Drosophila melanogaster: one gene and its partners. The protein of the gene in region 2 interacts with the protein of the main gene of each other region in a pairwise test. Each region holds a gene or a part of one and is shown on either strand. Other genes may lie near its edges. The genes, in order: M1BP, l(3)L1231, CG11134 and CG14062.

Region 1 (4,723 bases), 5.9 Mb from region 2:
ACGCCCATGCGCACCAAGTAGCAGCGGGCATAGCTCGATACCAAAGGATCAGCTATACCCCTCAGTTGATGGGTCAAACGTTGCAAAATGCGCTCATACTCCTCGCGCGATGATGACAGGAACTCGTAGCACTTGAATATTGACAGCTCCAAGTAAAAACGCGGCAGTAACTCACGAATCGAGGCGATCTTATAAAACCAATTCTGGCACGTATCCCGGGCAGCTTCCCGTTCCCGCTCTAATGTGGCCGCCGATGCGGCAGGATCTCCAGAGGCCTTAGCACGCAGTCGTTCGTATACCAATTTTCCAAAAACATCCAGTATATCAGTGATAAGAACGTACTGACTCGGATAGAATTGCAGCACAGTGGTGTCCGCTAGCATTTTGGCACACTGTATGGCTATCTTCAACGCTTTTACTCGCTGATCGTTGTGCCAGGACTGGATCAGCTCCTGCTTGAGTTGCTCAAACCGCTGAATGTACTCCTGCTGAGTAAGATCCATCATGTGACGCATGCTGCCATCGTCGAAGTGGTCTAACTGCTCCAAGCGAAACTTTGTCTTGTCGGCCACCACCGTTTGTGCTTTAACTATGATTGTTGTTAATATATATCACAGATCAACCGACCACTGAACTTACTGCTTTCGTTGCCGCCATCCAGGCTACCAGATGACACCAGAAAGCTGGTAGACAGCGATAGCTTCTCATTGGTTGTAAAGCGGTTGAGGATGCCTAGTCGTCGGCTGCTCCACTGCAGTGTGTTGTCCTCGGGCTCCGTTCGGTCCCGTTCACGACGCTTCGACTTGAGATCCTGAACATCCAAGTGCGAAAAACTTAGTCATGTTCCTTGCCGGTGCACCACTCTACTTACGAATTCGCTGACCATTTGACTGAGCGGATCGTTGAGCTCATCATCTTGGCGTGCAAACTGCGAGAGCGGATCTGTGCCCTCTAGAGCTCGGCTCAAGGGATTGCTGTCCACCACCTGGTGGAGATTGTTCTTTCATTAAAATCACTTACAGATAAGGGCGTTGTACCATTTACCCACCGTCACCGTCCGCTGCTTTAGGGGATGCTCCAGCGTGGCCTGCCCAGTCAGGCAATTCTTCCGGACCTCGTAGCATCGCGGCACGCACACCCTGCAGTCAGGAGAAATGGTTATCAATGCTTATTTGTTTATTTTCGGGGGAAAATAAATAAATTACCATTCCAAGTTCGCCATAGCGTCGTGGTTGTTGTTGTCGGCATTCCTGACAGCTGCTTGCCAACATGACATGGACGTAGCCGGTCAGGGATGAAATACACCAAAGAAACTGTACTAATTCCAGGGACTTTAGCTTAGAACCTGTTCTACTGTATATATTTCGTTTCGCTTGCAGCTCTATAGAAATTAATTTATAAAAAAGATTTAATTTAAAGATTTAAATAAAAGATTTTATTTATAATTTTATAAATTTAAAATTATAAAACAAATTAATTCAAATTTATATGTGATATTATTGGAGTATAATAAATATGCAAATCCGTTAAATATCAAAGCAATATATAATACTAACGTTAACAAAGTAATTCATTTTCGAGGATATATATATATTTTGGCATCATATGAACCCCTTTGCCTACGCCACTGAAAATATGTTTATTTCGGGGCGAATGGCAAATATTAACACGAAACACCGGGTGAATGGCAAATGCAGTTGACAAGCGACGCGTTTATTTTTTGTGTTCACAAATATCTTAAAAACGATTTCATTTCGGATTGCGAATGAAAAATGTCGAAATCGGCGCTGAAACACCTAAAGAGCACCTGCCGCGTATGCGCAAAGTATGCAAGCAACAAGCGGTCGCCGAAGTTATTCGAGCGGAGCAACACAAAGATGATCGACAACATTGAGGCGCTCACAGGCCTTCGGGTAAATTTTTCACTGCGGCTTTATGGAATTTATGTAGTTATAGCTTAATTTATTGGTGTTTAATCTAGCTGGAGAACTACGGTTGCCTGCCGGATCAGATATGTGAATGCTGCAGCATGGAACTGGCCTCCGCCGTTAAGCTGAGGGAGCGCTGCATCGCCGCCCAGCGTGAGCTACTCTTGGGATTGACCGAGGAGCAACGCCAAGGCATCTCGGCCTTCTACCGGGCGGCTGTCATGGGCGAGGATATTGTCCAGACGGTGAAGACGCCCGACGATGATGAGGTCTATGCCACTTATCAGGAAATCGTATTGGAAGAACCTAAGGAAGAGATCGACGACACCAAGGTAGAGTACGATAATACCTACTACGAGGTGGCCGAGGGACACGCCGGCGAGGACGACGCAGCCTCCTTGATTGAAGAGGCCGACTATGATTCCATAATGGCCGAAGACGAAGAGCAGCAGCAAACGTTGGAGCTGGACGAAGACACCGAGCTAATTGTGGGCGACGTCAACGACGCGTACGTCTACGATTCGGATGATGAGGTGGCCGTTCTTGACAACGTGCTGGATGATGAGTACGAGCATGAAAACATTGTCGTCAAGAAGTGTAGTCTGCCGCCAAAGCCAAAGGTCCGGTCGGATGATGCGCGTCGTCGTGGCACCGGCGGAGTATACATCTGCGAGCAGTGCGGCAATCACATCAAGGGACGCATGGCCTTTGAACTTCACTGTCGTCGCCATCGTGGGGACAAGCAATTTGGCTGCGAGTGAGTACATTTCTACTCCTTTTTGGATACAGTATGACTAAATGGATTTATTTTCAGACTCTGTCAGTCGCGCTTCTGCACAACTTCCGAGCTGAAACGCCACATGCGCAAGCACACCGGAGAGCGACCGTTTGCATGTAAGTACTGTGGCCGCTGCTTCACAGACTACACCACGCGCGTGAAGCATGAGCGTACCCACACCAATGAGCGCCCCTACGTCTGTGGTACTTGCGGCAAGGCCTTCACTACCGGCTACATCCTTAAGAACCATATGCTGATACATTCCGGCGAGCGGGCCTACAGGTACGTTGAGTCATACAGCTACACAGTACCGGGAAACCCAATAACTAGGTTTCTTAGAAATTCTAAGATCATATTATGCGGCATTACAAGAGTTTTCCAAAACCTTATGAGAGTTAAGATAACTAAATATTACTTATGTTGCCAAATTTCGTGAGTAATATTTAGTTATCTTATAATAATTTCTTATAATAATATGAAACTAGTGATACTGGTACAGTTACTGAAATGTTTGAAATGCCATCTAATACTGAATCTTCCCCTCAAGGTGCGAGCTGTGCGACAAGTCCTTTATGCTGCCCACCCACCTGAGCACCCACTTCCGGTCTGGCGTACACAAGCGGCATCTGGAGAAAGCCGAGATGAAACAGGTCCTGGAGCAGGAGCAGAAACGTGAACTCAAGGAGGAGGAGGAGGACAGCCTGCACATCTAAAGCTGTCCTTATAATATATACATAGCAATTACAGGCAATGCTAGACCGACAATGGCGCACAGCCAAGGAGCATTTCTGCAAATAATTAACAAACCAATTGTAATATGTAGAACTTAATATTGAATAATAAATCAAAACTTCAAATCCCAACTTATGAGCATTTATTTCATCTGTAAAAATTGCTTCCATGCGAATGGCAAACGGAACAGCTGATTGACAAGCATAGCATTGTTTACAAAAAGTTTGGCGTTTCAAACTTTTTTATCGGCTCAAAAATGGAAGGAAAAGTGTGTCGCACTTGCGGCAAGCGCACGAATGCTGAAAGATCATTGAATATTTTTGAAAAGCGCAATCAAACTACGCTGGAACACATCAAACTACTAACTGGAGCTGTGGTGAGAGGATAATAATGCGTAGTGTCTTTAACTTTCTAAAGTTTTTTCTCTTTACAGTTAAAGAACTGTAGTACGTTGCCAAATCGACTATGTGCGTCCTGCCAAACTTGTTTGCAACAAGCCATATCCTTTAGGGAACGCTGTTTGGAAGTCCAAAGGGAGTTGCTCCATTCCCAAGATGATGAAGACTTCCTTAGAATCTGCCAGGAATCTCCCAAAAGTGTCCTTGAGCAGGAGGAGTTGGAACTGGATCTGGCAGAAATAAGCATAGAAGTCGAGCGATTAGACGATCTCAATGAAGGGCCCATTCAAAGCTCCGGTTTTAAAGTGGAGGACATTCTAAATGAATCTAAAATCAACGAAGACGAGCCCAATAATGAGGACGATATTGATTATAGTGAAATGGATTACCTTATTTACGAAAGCGATACTGAAGTAGATGCAAAGCAGGAACTCAAATCAGACTCTGAGAATCCCAAAAAAAGGAGAAATCGTCGAAATCCCCGCGACTCCAATAGGACCTTCTTTTGTGAGGAGTGCGGAAATCACATAAAAGATCGAATATCATTCATACTGCATTGTAAGCGACATCGCGGCGTCAAGGAGTTTGGGTGCGAGTAAGTGGCAATTCTACTTAAGATTGATCCTAACTAATCCGCTTCATTTAAGATTCTGTGAGGATCGCTTCTGCACGCCGGCGGAACTTAAGCGTCACATTCGCAAGCATACCGGGGAAAAGCCCTTCAAGTGCAGACACTGTTCCCGCAGCTTTTCTGACTACAGCACTCGGTTGAAGCACGAGCGGACTCACACTAACGAACGACCTTTTGTCTGCAAGGAGTGTAACAATGCCTTCACAACATCCTATATTCTTAAGAACCACATGCTCGTGCATACCGGGGAGAAGGC
Region 2 (5,403 bases):
TAAAATTTTATTGCAATACCAGCAAATGTCTATCCATTTTCTATATTTGGAATGGCTGTATTATACAAACGAGTGCTTTTGTGTTAATGGTTTTTCATGAAAAATGCGCAGCACATCAACTTCAATTTGCTCATATTCAACAATGAAATAAAAATCCAATTACAAATTGGACGAGTGGCTTAAAAAGAAATTGAAAAATATGTATTAAATTACAACTCTGCCTTATTACCATTTTTATTATTTTTTTTAAGCTAAAGGGTTTAAAGTGGAACGATATGTTCAAAACAAAGAATAATTTAAATATCCCCCTGAGTCATCGACAAGTTTAGATTCTTTAATTTTAAAACGACTTGACTGACTACTGATTGAATACTCGATGTGAAACGCACAAGCAATGGAATAATAGATCATGTTCATGTGTTTTCAAGGCGATTAGTCTGCTGCTACTCTAACATTAATGGAAAATTTTGAGGCACCTTTCGGCAGAATTAGCGAAGAACGAAGAAAACCCCCGGGGAAAACGCACGCCGTGGAACACGAAGGTTTTCGGCTTGTGATGGCCCAAGAAACCGTGCTCAAAGGTCTGCTGGTTAAACGAGCTGTGGATAGCTGCTACACACAGATACAGATGGATTGTTGCTTTGCTTGGACCAGGTAGCAAGCGACCAGGTAAACCGATAGGCTGGCAGAAAGCCGGTCGGTCGAGAGGTTAATTACGAGAGCAAAGCGTTTCCAGGCGTTACGCTCACTGGGCTACGGCGGCATAAAAACACCAGAACTGGAAAATATACGAGTACGACGACTACCAGTTGAATGGTTTTCAACATGCTGGTAGGAAAAACACTAGGCATTCATTTGCAAAACATTTGTAAGTGTCGGGGGCCCTAACACCCTTGTTTCTTCACATTTTAGTTGTATCTCAGAAATGTTGCTCAATATTTCAACAGCTAATTAGTCGGGCGTTTTACAATAATTCCGACAACTGTTAAAATAGCAGCGATAAAAAGCTTTTAAAATTAGTTTATAACCAGACATGAACTACATTTTATAACTGCTGTCATATTAGTACGTTTTATCAAGAACCAGAAACTGATATATTAATCAAATCTATGCCATCAAACTATCTGCATATAATGGTTCCTTTATTGTTAATATGAACATGATAAGATAGTGATTGTTCCTGGAGTAAATAAGCAATGTTTAAAAATAGTGATGATTGACTTGTGTTTCAGATTTACGATAAGGGTGAGAAATGATTCCCATATTTTCGGCGCGCTTTCATGATATTTGCAAACTCATCGACATTGACGCACAGCAGCAGAAATTGCATTTAAATGCACATTACATTGCCCGTAAGTGAGGAAAACGGGCAGAGGGAGAGAGAGAGGGAGATACTGAGTCCGAACCCGTTTGCTGCTTCCTTCATAACCGGAAACTGAAGGCTAAATTGTGCAAAGCAAGAAATGTGCAAAAAACGTAATATAATGACGACCGGGTGGGGGAAAGCAAGAAGGGCGGGGCTGGAAACCACCGCAAAGGCAGCTGGAGATGGATTTTTGATGCGGTGGGGAGGACGGTGCGGGATGCGGGGTAAAAGCCAAGAGCCAGACATGCGGTTCAGTTTATTCAGCCAGCCAGCGAAGCCAAACGAACTCCATCTGCAGCTCCACTTGGCCACTTTTGCATTGCACGTAGGCCCGTCCACATCCCACAGAGTGGGTCTCATGGCTCCAGAGCAGTGGTACAGTGGACACTGGCTGGAAGCAACCCGGGGAAGCCTTGGGAGTGCTGCCAACAATGTTGGCATAACTTATGGAGCATATATCTTGCTCGTTTTGTCTGCAAACAAACTTCCAAAATCGTGAGTCATACGAGATAATTATGGGCTTCACAGTCAAAGATTTTGCTTTGCATTTTTCTTTGCTTTTTCGCGGTCAAAAGACAATAAATATTAATGGGTTCCATAAAATGACTCACTGAATTATTCAAATAAATATTTATTTCAATTTGGAAATTTAATAACGCTGGTAGGAATATTTAAAGCTTTTGAAAGGTTTCCTAAATAAGCCGTTTGGTATTGTTTTCGAATGCAAAATAATATATTTTTATAATCCAAATTGATTGTGCATCCATATTAAATGGAAAGATAAACATGTATAATTTTTAAAAGACACTTAAGTTGTTTAAACAATTCATCCGCATGATAGATCCAATTAATGTGGTAATTTTCTTTACTTTTCCATTTTAACATGAAAGTAAATCTCCGATATAAAACACTTCCTTTGGCCTTAGCTGTTTTGTGATTTCTTGGTGCAATAAGTATTATTTTATAACAGTATCATAATTATAAGGCGAATTAAGTTAAAACAGAATTATTCACACAATAAAATATCCAAGGCTTACGATCACTATTTTGTTTTTTTATAAAAGTGTACGAAATTTTCGTTATTCGAGGTTTTATTATGTTGCTCTTTTTGTTGTTGTTGTAGGTAGTGAGCGGCAGCTGTTGTTGGTATGAAAAAAAAAACACACACATCTGTTCCGTTAAAACCAAGTTAACGATAATCTCGGTTTCTCACGGACTTTACTCAACTCTTGTGAAGAATTTCAGCAATATAAACACACACATGCACACGATAACTAAGAGCGGGCGGAGGGGGAGGTTCATCACCACACATATGTCGCCAATAAACAAATTTCCAAAACTAAACAAAACAAATAACCAATTCCGTGTAAACGAACTTTCAGTGGGGAGCGCGTCTTGAATTTCTTTTAGCTTTTTGTTTAGTTTTGTTTGTCATTCGCTTTGTGGTTTGTGGGTGTGCCGCCGCTGCGAGGGGTGGGATGGCAACTGTTGGGGAGTGGCGGGAAGGGCACTCGAGAATCGCTGTTGCCGGCGTTTTTATGATTTCTCTGTTTCCCCCATCCGTTTTTTTCTCTTTTTTTTTTGTTTCGACCAGCAGTCGCCCTCGCCCTTTTTTCTGCTTCTCTTTAGCGGCTCTTTCGCTTCCTTCCCCCACACAGCCCCCCACCAAACCCACACACTCACAGATACACTTGCGTTTAGAGTTGCACACGCAGGGTCTTTTGATTTTTAACTGTGCTTTGATTTTCAGCATTTAATCATTTTTAGCTTTAACAGCTTTTTCTGCTTTTCTTTGCTTTGGCGATTTTCGATGCAAAACAAGAATGCGTCACGGACCGCACACACTCACATAAAGGCTCACACACATACAACACACGCATACAGTGGGGCCGAAACCGAGAGCAACGAGAGCGAGAAAATTTACCCAACCGTCTGATGACGATTCAAACGTCAAAGTGGCGCCGCGCAACGTACTTCGTTTTTGTTGTTTGAGTACCCTTCCCACGGACAGGGTTGTCATGTTTTTGGGAATTAGTAAAGTGGCAGAATAATGCGGTTTTTTGGGAAATAAAAATTATAACAGCCCGCCAAATAATTATTTACAGCGATTCGCACTCAATTGATCACAAGTTAATGGGATTTACTGTTAAAAATCTATTTTATGCACATATAAATAGGAGGATCGGCAACCCTGGCCTGCCTCTCACACACACATACAGCACAGACCTGGGAATTTTTTGCTGCACAATTTTTTCTCCGCACCAACAATTCCACTTTCAAATGCAATTTTATCCCCCTTTGCTGAGCGCAGCGTACTCAAGACGATATCCTTTTTGTGGGAAAATGTGTACTGCAGCACTTTCTGGTGTGTTAAGTGGGCATAAAACGCGTTAAACGATTAAATTTGTAATTTTCGATGAAGTCGGGCTGACAAGATGGCGGACAATACAGGCGCGCGCACAGACACACACGCAGCCATTCGGGCGAACTAGGGATGTGACAAATTTATCTACATTTCAATATATCGATATTTTTGAAGAAAAATAAATATTTATTCACATGATCTATCGAATATCACTATTTTGCTGCTATTTATACAAACAAAATAAGCAAGTGCTAAATTTATGCTTCAGGATTGATAACCATTAAGTAACAACAGTTAATAATAATATTATACATTCAGCGAAGAACCAACCATATTATATTAATAAAACCAAACACACTGAACTGCTATTTTGGGACCCAGTGTCAAGGAGTGTCGTAAGCTACAGCCACCGCCACCTTTACGTTTTTTATACCCCTTACTCGTACAGTTAAAGGGTATACTATAGCCGAGTGCTTCCGAATGAATGTAGAGATATTAGGAACTATAAAGGCGAGAGAGTAAGGACTACCACGTCCACTTTAACGCTCACTAACCGCCCAAAACTCCCACTTTTGAACAATTTCTTTACATTTTATTTGTCTTGCTGATTAGTATCGGTACGCCAAAAATATGTAAATGTTCTAGTTCGCACTCCTATTAACGTAGTAGGTACGTATAGTAGGTAGTAGGAATCTGATAGTCGAGGAACTCGAATATAGCGTTCTAACTTGATTCTGATTGGTACGTGCGCGTTGCCATCTTGAAACTGGTTACCTTAGCCATAACGCGCAGTCTCCAATGGGCGGCCAATCAGAGCACCGGCGGTCTGATTGGTCGGCTCTGCAGTTTGATTTGTATCTCTACTGTGGTTTAGCTTTGGAACCACTATTGCGCAATATTTCTTGGCGGCAGGATAAAATGATCGGCCGCAAAAGGCCTCCCAGAGCCAGATGAACTATGTTGGAGTAGCCGCTGATGCTGTCGCATTCTACTGATAGAGATAGGCAGTTGTGGCGATGCTGTTAATGTGATGGATCCGGGTCCGGACAATGTCTGCTGCTGCTGAATTTGAAGTTGTGAGCCCATAGACTCCTCCTGGGGAGTGTGCGAATGATACCCGTGTGGGTTGCACTGAAAGATTTCTCTCGCGGCTGATACCCAGATGGATTCTCGAGTAAAGGCAAGCCAAAGATCATATACCCGACAAATACCATTAAATAACGACATAAAGAACAACAAAAGTAGGTTTAAAGAAGAGTCATAGAGGAAAAACCTCCGCGCCAAAATTCAATTCGCGCCGATATCACGTTATCGAACGCTGCACAGCTGGTCATACTAGCTGACCAAGGCAACTCTGCGATCTCGTCCACCTGGGCACACTAGTTGGCGGTCATCGTGTAGTCATTCAATTTCCGACTTCAAACATCCTTCATCAGCCTGCAAGCGAGTTCCGACAAATTTTCAACCCGGTCATGGTTAATTCACACCACAACTAAACGCCGAGATGCCGAACATATGAGAGGCTCGACTTAAGATGTTCGGCATTCGAATTTCTAACGTCTCCAAATGGGAGACTTTTAAAATCACGATCAGTATATCAGTATTAGCTTGTGAGCTTATTCCACAAATAAAATATTAATTACTAGATCTCATCTAAGCGTAACACGCTGAA
Region 3 (4,389 bases), on a different chromosome or scaffold from region 2:
GCCACCTTGCCGTCCTTGGTGATTTTGTACAGGAACACACCGTTGACCGCCTTGGCCTTGGCCTCGTTCTCCTTCAGTCCATCGATGATCTTTTGGAAAACGGCGTCCGACTGCAGAGACATGGTTGTTGTTGTTGTTGTTGTGGGGGTATTTCTGTGTGTATGCGGTTTTGTTTTTCCGGAAGAATAAAGAAAATATTCAGTGGGCTTGTGCGTCGTAGAAATAAAAGAAAAGTGCTTACGCTTTGAGAGCGGAACGCGAAGTAATGAGCAGAAGGCGTGCAATCGGCGATTTTATTGTCGCTTTTTTCACTACACTGCCCCTGTTGTGTGGGAGCGGGATGGTCGTATAGCAAGTTGCCGGTCGCGATATGTCGCCCTCACTCGCACCTGTTGCATTCGCATAAGCCTTGTTGTGCTGTTATTGTCGCGCTCCCTCTCTCTCTCGCTCTCTTCCAAATGTTAGCCAGCTGATGCACAGTGGGCATGAACTCAAAATAAAGTGGCTGCACGAAAACCTTTTGCATATCAGATATAGCTTTTATTTATATCGTTTATGCGATATTTCTTTCATTAAGCTGAATTGAAATTCTGATATTTGATGATATCAGAATGAAAAAGTAAATAACTGTATCGATATCATTTGGTTTTCACCGCTTGTTAGCCCACTGTTACAGGTGTGGAGTTTAGACTTTAACATTAACATGAAACGCCTAACATGAAGCCGTAACAGCGGTTATCAGCTGTTGTCCACGATTTAGTGCAAAGTGCGCACCCAGTTTGAAATGCCCATAAAACGGCGATAAGGCTTGAAGACTCTTCAGATTATTTCGACAAAATATGTCACCTAACGAGCCCATTGAGAAAATATTTTTAACCCCCCAAATGCCATATATCGTGATTCGATTCATAAAACGCAAGCATTATTCAGTACTATTATTTTGCATTGACCAATGGATTTCAGTTAGTAAATGCATCAATTTATAGGGTTAAACGACAAGTAGAATGTGCGTTCGTATCAGCTTCACTTCCTTATGAGCTCTCGAACTTTTCCGGATCGATTCCGGCCTTCTTCATTTCCACGGCAATGGAGAAGAGATAGTCATAGCATTCCGACCTGGTTGTAAAAAGAGAGATAAACGATTAGGTCTATAAAAGTGCTCGGTGTCTGAGAATAAGTGAGGCAACCCACATGGTTTTGGCCTTCTCCCAGTTCTGTCCCCAAACGTAGACGCCGTGTCGTCGAACCAGGATCGCACTGCAGCCCGGATACTCCATCATGGCGGCGTACATACTGTCGGCCAGGTCGCGTTCAAAGGGTGTGTTCTCGATGATCGGTACGACGAGCTCCTCGTCGTAGCGCAAATATCGCTTGTCCGCCTCATCGTAGACGCCCTTGATCATCTCCAAGTGGGTGCAGCGGAAGGTTTTCCCTGGCCACAGGAGCGTGGCCATTACGGCGTGCTGCGAATGGGTGTGGATGACGGCTCCCGCCTGCCGATGCTGATAGGCCAGCATAAAGAGCGGCGTACATTGGCTCTTCTTCAGGCCCTTGATCTCAGGCGGCAGTTGCAGATCCTTGCCGGTTATATCCTGCACGAAGAGATCCTCCGGCTGCATTCGCTCCTTCTGGACGCCCGACGGTGCTATGTAGATCTCATCGCTGAAACGGATTAACCGGCTTATATGGCTGTCTGGATAGATGTATAGTATCACTTGTACTCACTTGTACTTAATGCTCATGCCACCTCCTGTGCCGGTCACCCATCCCAAATGATAGAATTGCCTGCATAGCGAGGGAATCAAGTGGCGAGGATGCTCCGCCGGCAAGTCTTTGAAGATCGAGAGGGCCATCTCGCTGACAATGTGACTTTCGTGGGACGTAATCTTCGTCGCCGTGCGACACTGATAACGGGAGATAAAGGGATTCTGAAAGCGACAAATCACGAATGTAAACAATGCTGCCGTCGATAGACGATTGCAATCGGTGTATCGCTGTTAACACACAGCGTTGCCGTTACGATAAACATTGTCCAATTAGAAATGGTTTTTTGAAAATTGAATAATGTGCAATAGTTCATTAAGAGAACAAGATATTATTATCACCGTATTACCTCAAAAATGTTTCATAGCGCTGTTGAAAACGTTTTTTACAAGTATAAATATAATAAGCTTGCTACATTTGAACTTTTTTCAATTTTCTTGAGTAGTCCTATTCTGTAAGTCTTATTATAAACTTTTTTGTTTTTATGTGGCTCACCTTTGGAATTATATTGTTTATTAAACATCTTTTCAGGCCCTTCGTACAATGAAGTCCGAAATCGGCAAGGCGTCACACCGCCTCAACCTTTTCACTTCCGAGATCATGCACTTTATCCACCAAATGCAGTACTATGTGCTATTTGAGGTCATCGAGTGCAACTGGGTGGAGCTACAGAAGAAGATGCAGAAGGCTACTACGTTGGACGAAATCCTGGAAGCTCACGAGAAGTTTCTGCAAACGATTTTGGTGGGCTGTTTTGTCAGCAACAAAGCGAGTGTGGAGCATTCGCTGGAGGTGGTGTACGAGAACATTATCGAATTGGAGAAGTGGCAGTCGAGCTTTTACAAGGACTGCTTTAAGGAGCTAAATGCCCGCAAGGAACTGTCCAAAATTGTGGAGAAATCGGAAAAGAAGGGTGTCTACGGACTGACCAACAAGATGATCCTGCAGCGCGACCAGGAGGCGAAGATATTTGCCGAAAAGATGGACATCGCCTGCCGCGGCTTAGAAGTCATAGCAACCGATTACGAAAAGGCTGTCAGCACTTTCCTAATGTCTCTCAACTCTAGCGACGATCCGAATTTGCAGCTCTTTGGCACTCGGCTGGACTTCAACGAGTACTACAAGAAGAGGGACACCAATTTGAGCAAACCCCTGACCTTCGAGCACATGCGCATGAGCAATGTGTTCGCCGTGAACAGTCGCTTCGTGATATGTACGCCGTCCACTCAGGAATAGCGACCAATGTCCATGCAATCGGTTTATCCCAGTGTCCATACATCATACCAAATCCCAAATCCCATACAGCATCAGCACTCCATTCAGTTCAATTGCTGCTAAATATTTGAGATATCTCGATATCATTGGAGCCAATCCAACCAAACAAACTAATCCAATTATTAACTAAGCCTTCGAATCGAAAACAACCTCTATACATATATATCTCAAGCTTTGCCGTCAATCGCCTGGCTGCAAGCCATCAACTTAAGATATCTCCAATACAAAATTATTGAGTAGTTGTAACGAAAGTATTAAGCGACAATTTGTTTGTCGAAAAACGCAACGTTCTATTTTGTTTGCGAATCCCATAATTTTTTTTACATCGAAGCTTAGTTGAAATAGATTTTCGTAAGTGCATTTGCCAATTGCCATGTTGTAATTAAAGAGAATAAGAGAATGTTACGTACTTTAAAAGAATGTTTTAAAAAAGTTAATGTTTTGAACAGTTTTAAACCGTAATGCGAGCTCGAAATAAACGCAACTTGCATTGAAAGTTTCCGTCTCTATTTAATTATTATAAATTACAAAAATTTGGGTTATAAGAGTGTAATAGTTATTTATTCAATTATTGTAAATGCGTATAAAAAGAAAGCCGAAATATTCAGTTATTTATATTATTTCCTTCTCACTCTCACTCAAACTTTCTGATCTCAAAACGGTTTTGTAATCGAATGCGCAGCGAGTTATCGACAGTCCACGAAGCGGTTAACATTTCACCGCTAGCGAGTGCAGCCACCTACTATTCAGCGTAGCCAACCACCAACGTGCAGCAAACATCGATAGTATCGATTAAACACAAATTTGCGTACCACCTCTAGTTTGCGAGCGTATTAAAGTTAAAAAAAAAACGAAAACAAATCGGAAAAAGACGGAAGTGAGTGCTTTGTGCTGCCGCCGGTGATGTGCTGAAATCGCTTCGCCAAAATAGCCCAATTTCCCAATCGAGACACCGATTGCAAATCAAAGTAACGCCACGGAGTGCAGCAAAAAGAAAAACAAAAACAACAGCAACTGCAAACATGGCACTGAAAAAAGTGAAGGGTAACTTTTTCGAGCGTATGTTTGATAAAAACCTCACCGATTTGGTGCGCGGCATTAGGAACAACAAGGATAATGAGGTAAGCGTGCAGCCCCGCCTCCACCGCCCACCAAAACAGCTGTCCTCCAACTGCCACGCCCCCCCCAAGCGGCCCAGCTGTGCGTCCAATTAGAACTCGCTAATTGGCTGACAAATTTCGTTTGCATTAAGGGAATCTTATTAGAGTTTGGTGTGCTTGCATGTGTGCGTGTGTGTGTGTGTGGGTGAAAGTGGCTGTGTGTTTGTGTGTGTGAATGTTTTGGCATCTG
Region 4 (4,335 bases), about 14 Mb from region 2:
ACAAAGGACCCGTGAAAGCAAAGCAGATAAAGACGAGCCGAAAAAACGAACAAGCTTGAAGGGCAGGAGTATCAAGCACACAAGGATGCGCTGCAGGATTCGTGGTTTAGGCCTCTTTTTTTTTTTGCCCCTTCTTTGCGGCTGCTGTAGGTGCGCTAAAATTATGCAAATCATCGTAATACTTTCCCGGCGCAAAGCAAAGCGGAAGGAAATTGTGTAAAAGCGGCAAGAAGGCTATATGTGCTGCTGCCTTGTCTGTCTGCTGCTTTTGGCAGCCTTTTCGGCAGGCTACAAAGCAAATAATTGCCCCAGAAATTGGGGCCATGCAAACTGTAATGTAATGGAGCCGTTTCGCTTTGAACGTCGTCGCATGTGAAGCCCTAATGATGATATTTCCCGAAAAGAACTCTGAATCAAATAAAGCGCCTGTGTTCGGTTGGTGGAAAACAGTAAAATGAAGTGAAATACTTGGGAAGTGTTTGCCCAGGCGACCGCAGTCAATGGTGGAAAGCTTAAAGACTCTTGGCCCATAAAAGAGTTTAAGCTGCCGCCCAGCCGAGCATAAAGTGCACACCCCTCTCGCCAGGATTCAGTCCAGCCGCCAGCATCCTTGGTTTCCGCTTCCTGTGGTTTGGTCGAAAAATTTAATAAACGTCAAGCTGAGTGGCAAAGAAGAACGAGGGTCCAAACATTGCACCTGCCGCTGACCGCATTCAGGAATGTTAGTGAAAAGGTGGCACGCCGAAATGCATACTTGTATGGCCGTATACACCCGTACGTATACACGTATTGTCCACACGAAGTAGCGGCGGCAAGTATGCAATATAGCGTATACGCCCCGTGACACATTTGGGACAGCCAGCAGCCTTGATCCCAGTGATATCACGGAAACTTCATAAGTCCCTCGCACACGCCCAAGACCCATCTCTGATTTATGGTCTTTAACTTGGTTAACTTGCCATCGCTCATATGTCCTCGTGGTCTTATAATTGCACTTCTAAACATGAGCCATTTATAAATCTTAGACTTGCAAAACTTTTCCCATTTCCCCAATAATTTCGCGCAACATTAACGAGCTTATTAATCGTTGCCCTCTTATAGTCAGAAACATCAAGCACGTCGCTCGCTCGATTCAGTAGACAGGACTCTGATCCTGGGATGAAGGACGCGTGAAATTGTCACACACAACCACATTTATGTGGGGTTGGGGTCGAGGTCACGGAATTTTATTGGTTCCCCGGTTTGGGTGGATGCCTTTTTTGAATAGCGCGACACATTAACTTAATAATTTAGTGGGTGTCGAGTGGGCTGTTATAAATATTTATAAGAGCCGCCCTGAGTGGGCCGTCGATGGCAGGACTAGATCTGCTGCTAAGAGCTACTCCAAACTATCCCATCCGTGCGAAGATTCCCCTGGATTCTCAGGCTCAATTGCGCGTAAAAGTCAAATGTCTGTGCCCTTCGCCCAAAATGCTTTCTTGGCACTTGGCAGATTCCAATACACACATGCAAAGTTTGCACGTCCTGGCATACACACACGTATAGGTATCCCATATACATGGCTCCTCTAAGTCGACGTTATATATGCGCATGTATTAGTTTTGGCCGCCATTTCTGCATGCCATACAAACGGAAAAGCTTACAGTCGTTAAGGGATTTAGCAGGCAAATATAAATTTATGAAATATTCGCAAGGATGTGCGAGATGCCCGTCTATGGTGGCTACTGCTATTGCACCTTTCCGCAAACAAACCAAAAGATCACACCGTTTTGGCTTGGTTAGAGCTACAGCTATACCTCCAGCCATGCAGCCATATAGATGGGGCAACAAACACAATCTCAGCCGCAAAACGAGTTGTTCTTGCCCACTGGACGTAAAGCTGGACATGGACAAAATCAATGCTAAACCAAACCAAATCGAACCCAACCCAGCCAAACCGAACTAATGTTATTTGTGGAACAAACAACGATAATAAAATCATGGGGCGCTGGGTAAATGGAAAGTGATTCGGTTGGTTCTGGTCAGGTTGTGGCATCGGGCCAATAACTAATTTCATTTAATCTGCCAGGCACATTTGCAATCGGCAAATGGCAGCATATGCACACAAAAGTTGACAATATCCGCATGAGGCCCCCGCTTTTAAACATTACCTGGGGCCCCTGATCTGGAAGTAATTAAGCCAGCCAGGTGATAATGTAGGCCACTCTTTTTCACCTTTAATTCGTTATCCAGTTTAAGCAATAATGATGTAATAATATAATTAATTTTGGATCGCTCGTGCAAGTCGATGCAAACAATAAAATTCGACAATGAATTGCACGTATTTTTGAAACAGTTGTGCACACACTTCTCCGATTTCCGTACAATATAAATAGACCTGCAAGCGATTAACTGCCGAGTTGAATCTTTCGGATATGTTGCGAATTCTACTTCTGCTACTGGCATTCTGTGCCTTGGGTAATAAATAAAAATATATTCTCGGCTATTGCTGGATGTAAAGTTTATATTCTTAAGCACATGGACAGTGCCGATTCACCAGAGCTCAAGTGCAAGGGACCAATCGGATCTTTATGGTGCGTGGTCAGAACCGCCAGCTGTCCCTTAAGCGAACAGCCAGTTCGGCGGTTGGCGAAACCCTGCAGATGTGGTGCAATCCCCGGGACATAGTGGCCACCACCTGCCAGGCGGGAAGGGTTCCAGCCTTCCAGCCACCCTTGCCCATGACCTGCCGCGCTGCTCCGGCGGCCATCACCACACCGGTCCAAGATCGCAGATGTCCGGCCACCATGTACCGGGTGGGCTACAACGTGGGCAACAACCAGTTCCTGGAGCTCTATCGCGCCTGCTTCGATACCAGAGCTGTGAGGGCTATCTTCGTGGAACACCGGGTGTATGGAAAGCCCTTCTGTAAGTACATATACAAAAGTGTAAGTTAAATCTTAATTATAAAATGAATATCAAACTTACAAATACTCAGATATCACCCGACCCTGTGTCCAATTTAGTTCGGATGGAGTGATCAGTGGCGCGGATGAAGCTAGCTATACGGTCCGAAATATCCACGGCACCTTTAGGAGGCTGTTTGGCAACAATCAGAACTATATACCGAACAACCGCGATGTGATCATCAATCGCGGACATCTGGCCGCCTCGGCCGACTTCTTCTTTGGTGACCAATTGTGCGCCACCTTCAAGTATGTGAATGCAGTGCCGCAGTTCAAGAGCATCAACGATGGCAACTGGGAGACCATCGAGCGATTCGTTCGTAATTCGGTGACCGGAAACAACTTTGTGAATGTGCGCACCGGGGCCAGGGGCGTACTCTCGCTGCCATCGGGCAATAGACCCAAGAATGTCTTCCTAAGTGGCAACAGGAACCCGGTGCCCCAGTGGATGTACAAGATAGTGCGGAACGCCAACAACCAGCCCATCGTGGCCTTCCTCACCCTGAACAACATCTACGCACGTCAACGTCCAGCTGCTCCCAACTTTTGTCAGCCCGTGAATTGCCCAGTGGCATTGGTCAACACGGCACAGGCTGGCTTTTCGTTCTGTTGCAACCCCGCCACTTTCAGGCCCTAATTGGATGCCTTTCTCAATAAGAAAAACCTGTCAGCCTTACAAAAATGTGAGGTTTTTAATATAACAAAATTCAAACATGGTAATAATTTAAACAATAATTTAAACTGAAATTAAAAGTATATTATTTTGGCTTTAGATCGCAAATCAATTTTCATTTTCATAAATCGTAAATGCTTGCGTGGCAGTTTAAAACGCGTGCGAACACTTCGAATTCATGGCTCATTCGGAATGGACTCGAGACGTCAGTTTTAATGGTCATTCAGCGGCTTCTCATAAATTTATCCCCCCCGGGCCACCACACTGCCACTGCCACCCGCTTTTGGCCCATTTAAATTCAAGCTGCGATTGTGGCGGAGGGCAAACGCTTTTCAATGCGTGCGAGTGCAATAAAGGCAGGCGGCCATGGCAATTGCTTGGCCGGGGGTTGCGCCTAAAAGTAGACATTAAATAAATTATTCAGCAGGGCATGGCTGTTTGTGTCTGTGCTGCTTTTAAATACGCACGCCTGCGAAATTGTTTTGTGCGTGTTCTGCCGGAATGGAGCTGATGGATATCCTGGATGGATAATGGAGCCAAAGGGCCGGGGACACTGGGAGCTCATAAAAGTGCAGAATAAATTTAGCAACCCGGACATGCGTTCAACTGGGCTCTCATAAAACCTAACAGTTGTAATTGTGCTGTAAACACGCAACTCAATGGCGTTGTGAATGGGCTGAGCACTTGCACCACCCAACATGCCGAGCACCCACATTC

What was found.
Region 1: the proteins of l(3)L1231 (region 2) and M1BP interact in a two-hybrid assay, tested with the Drosophila melanogaster proteins (one large-scale study listed by BioGRID).
Region 3: the proteins of l(3)L1231 (region 2) and CG11134 interact in a two-hybrid assay, tested with the Drosophila melanogaster proteins (one large-scale study listed by BioGRID).
Region 4: the proteins of l(3)L1231 (region 2) and CG14062 interact in a two-hybrid assay, tested with the Drosophila melanogaster proteins (one large-scale study listed by BioGRID).

The regions. Positions count from the first base shown.
Region 1 is NT_033777.3:8,728,632-8,733,354, reverse strand, and holds M1BP (motif 1 binding protein), read left to right. Parts: upstream 1-1,656; 5' UTR 1,657-1,772; coding exon 1,773-1,913; intron 1,914-1,981; coding exon 1,982-2,685; intron 2,686-2,742; coding exon 2,743-2,988; intron 2,989-3,253; coding exon 3,254-3,419; 3' UTR 3,420-3,565; downstream 3,566-4,723. Other genes in the region: CG8202 (uncharacterized protein), read right to left, coding at 1-589, 640-811, 872-985, 1,049-1,139, 1,206-1,222; ranshi, read left to right, coding at 3,695-3,814, 3,872-4,431, 4,484-4,723.
Region 2 is NT_033777.3:14,651,868-14,657,270, forward strand, and holds the start of l(3)L1231 (lethal (3) L1231), read right to left. Parts: upstream 3,331-5,403; 5' UTR 3,291-3,330; intron 1-3,290.
Region 3 is NC_004354.4:13,735,713-13,740,101, reverse strand, and holds CG11134 (uncharacterized protein), read right to left. Parts: upstream 2,161-4,389; 5' UTR 2,114-2,160; intron 1,964-2,113; exon of another isoform or gene 1,929-1,963; 5' UTR 1,854-1,928; coding exon 1,726-1,853; intron 1,663-1,725; coding exon 1,192-1,662; intron 1,117-1,191; coding exon 1,032-1,116; 3' UTR 925-1,031; downstream 1-924. Other genes in the region: CG11151 (uncharacterized protein), read right to left, coding at 1-122; Grip91 (Gamma-tubulin ring protein 91), read left to right, coding at 2,296-3,000; g (garnet), read left to right, coding at 4,062-4,160. UniProt on the Drosophila melanogaster protein: Catalyzes the dehydration of methylthioribulose-1-phosphate (MTRu-1-P) into 2,3-diketo-5-methylthiopentyl-1-phosphate (DK-MTP-1-P).
Region 4 is NT_033777.3:28,640,968-28,645,302, reverse strand, and holds CG14062 (uncharacterized protein), read left to right. Parts: upstream 1-2,411; 5' UTR 2,412-2,414; coding exon 2,415-2,457; intron 2,458-2,514; coding exon 2,515-2,907; intron 2,908-2,977; coding exon 2,978-3,582; 3' UTR 3,583-3,718; downstream 3,719-4,335.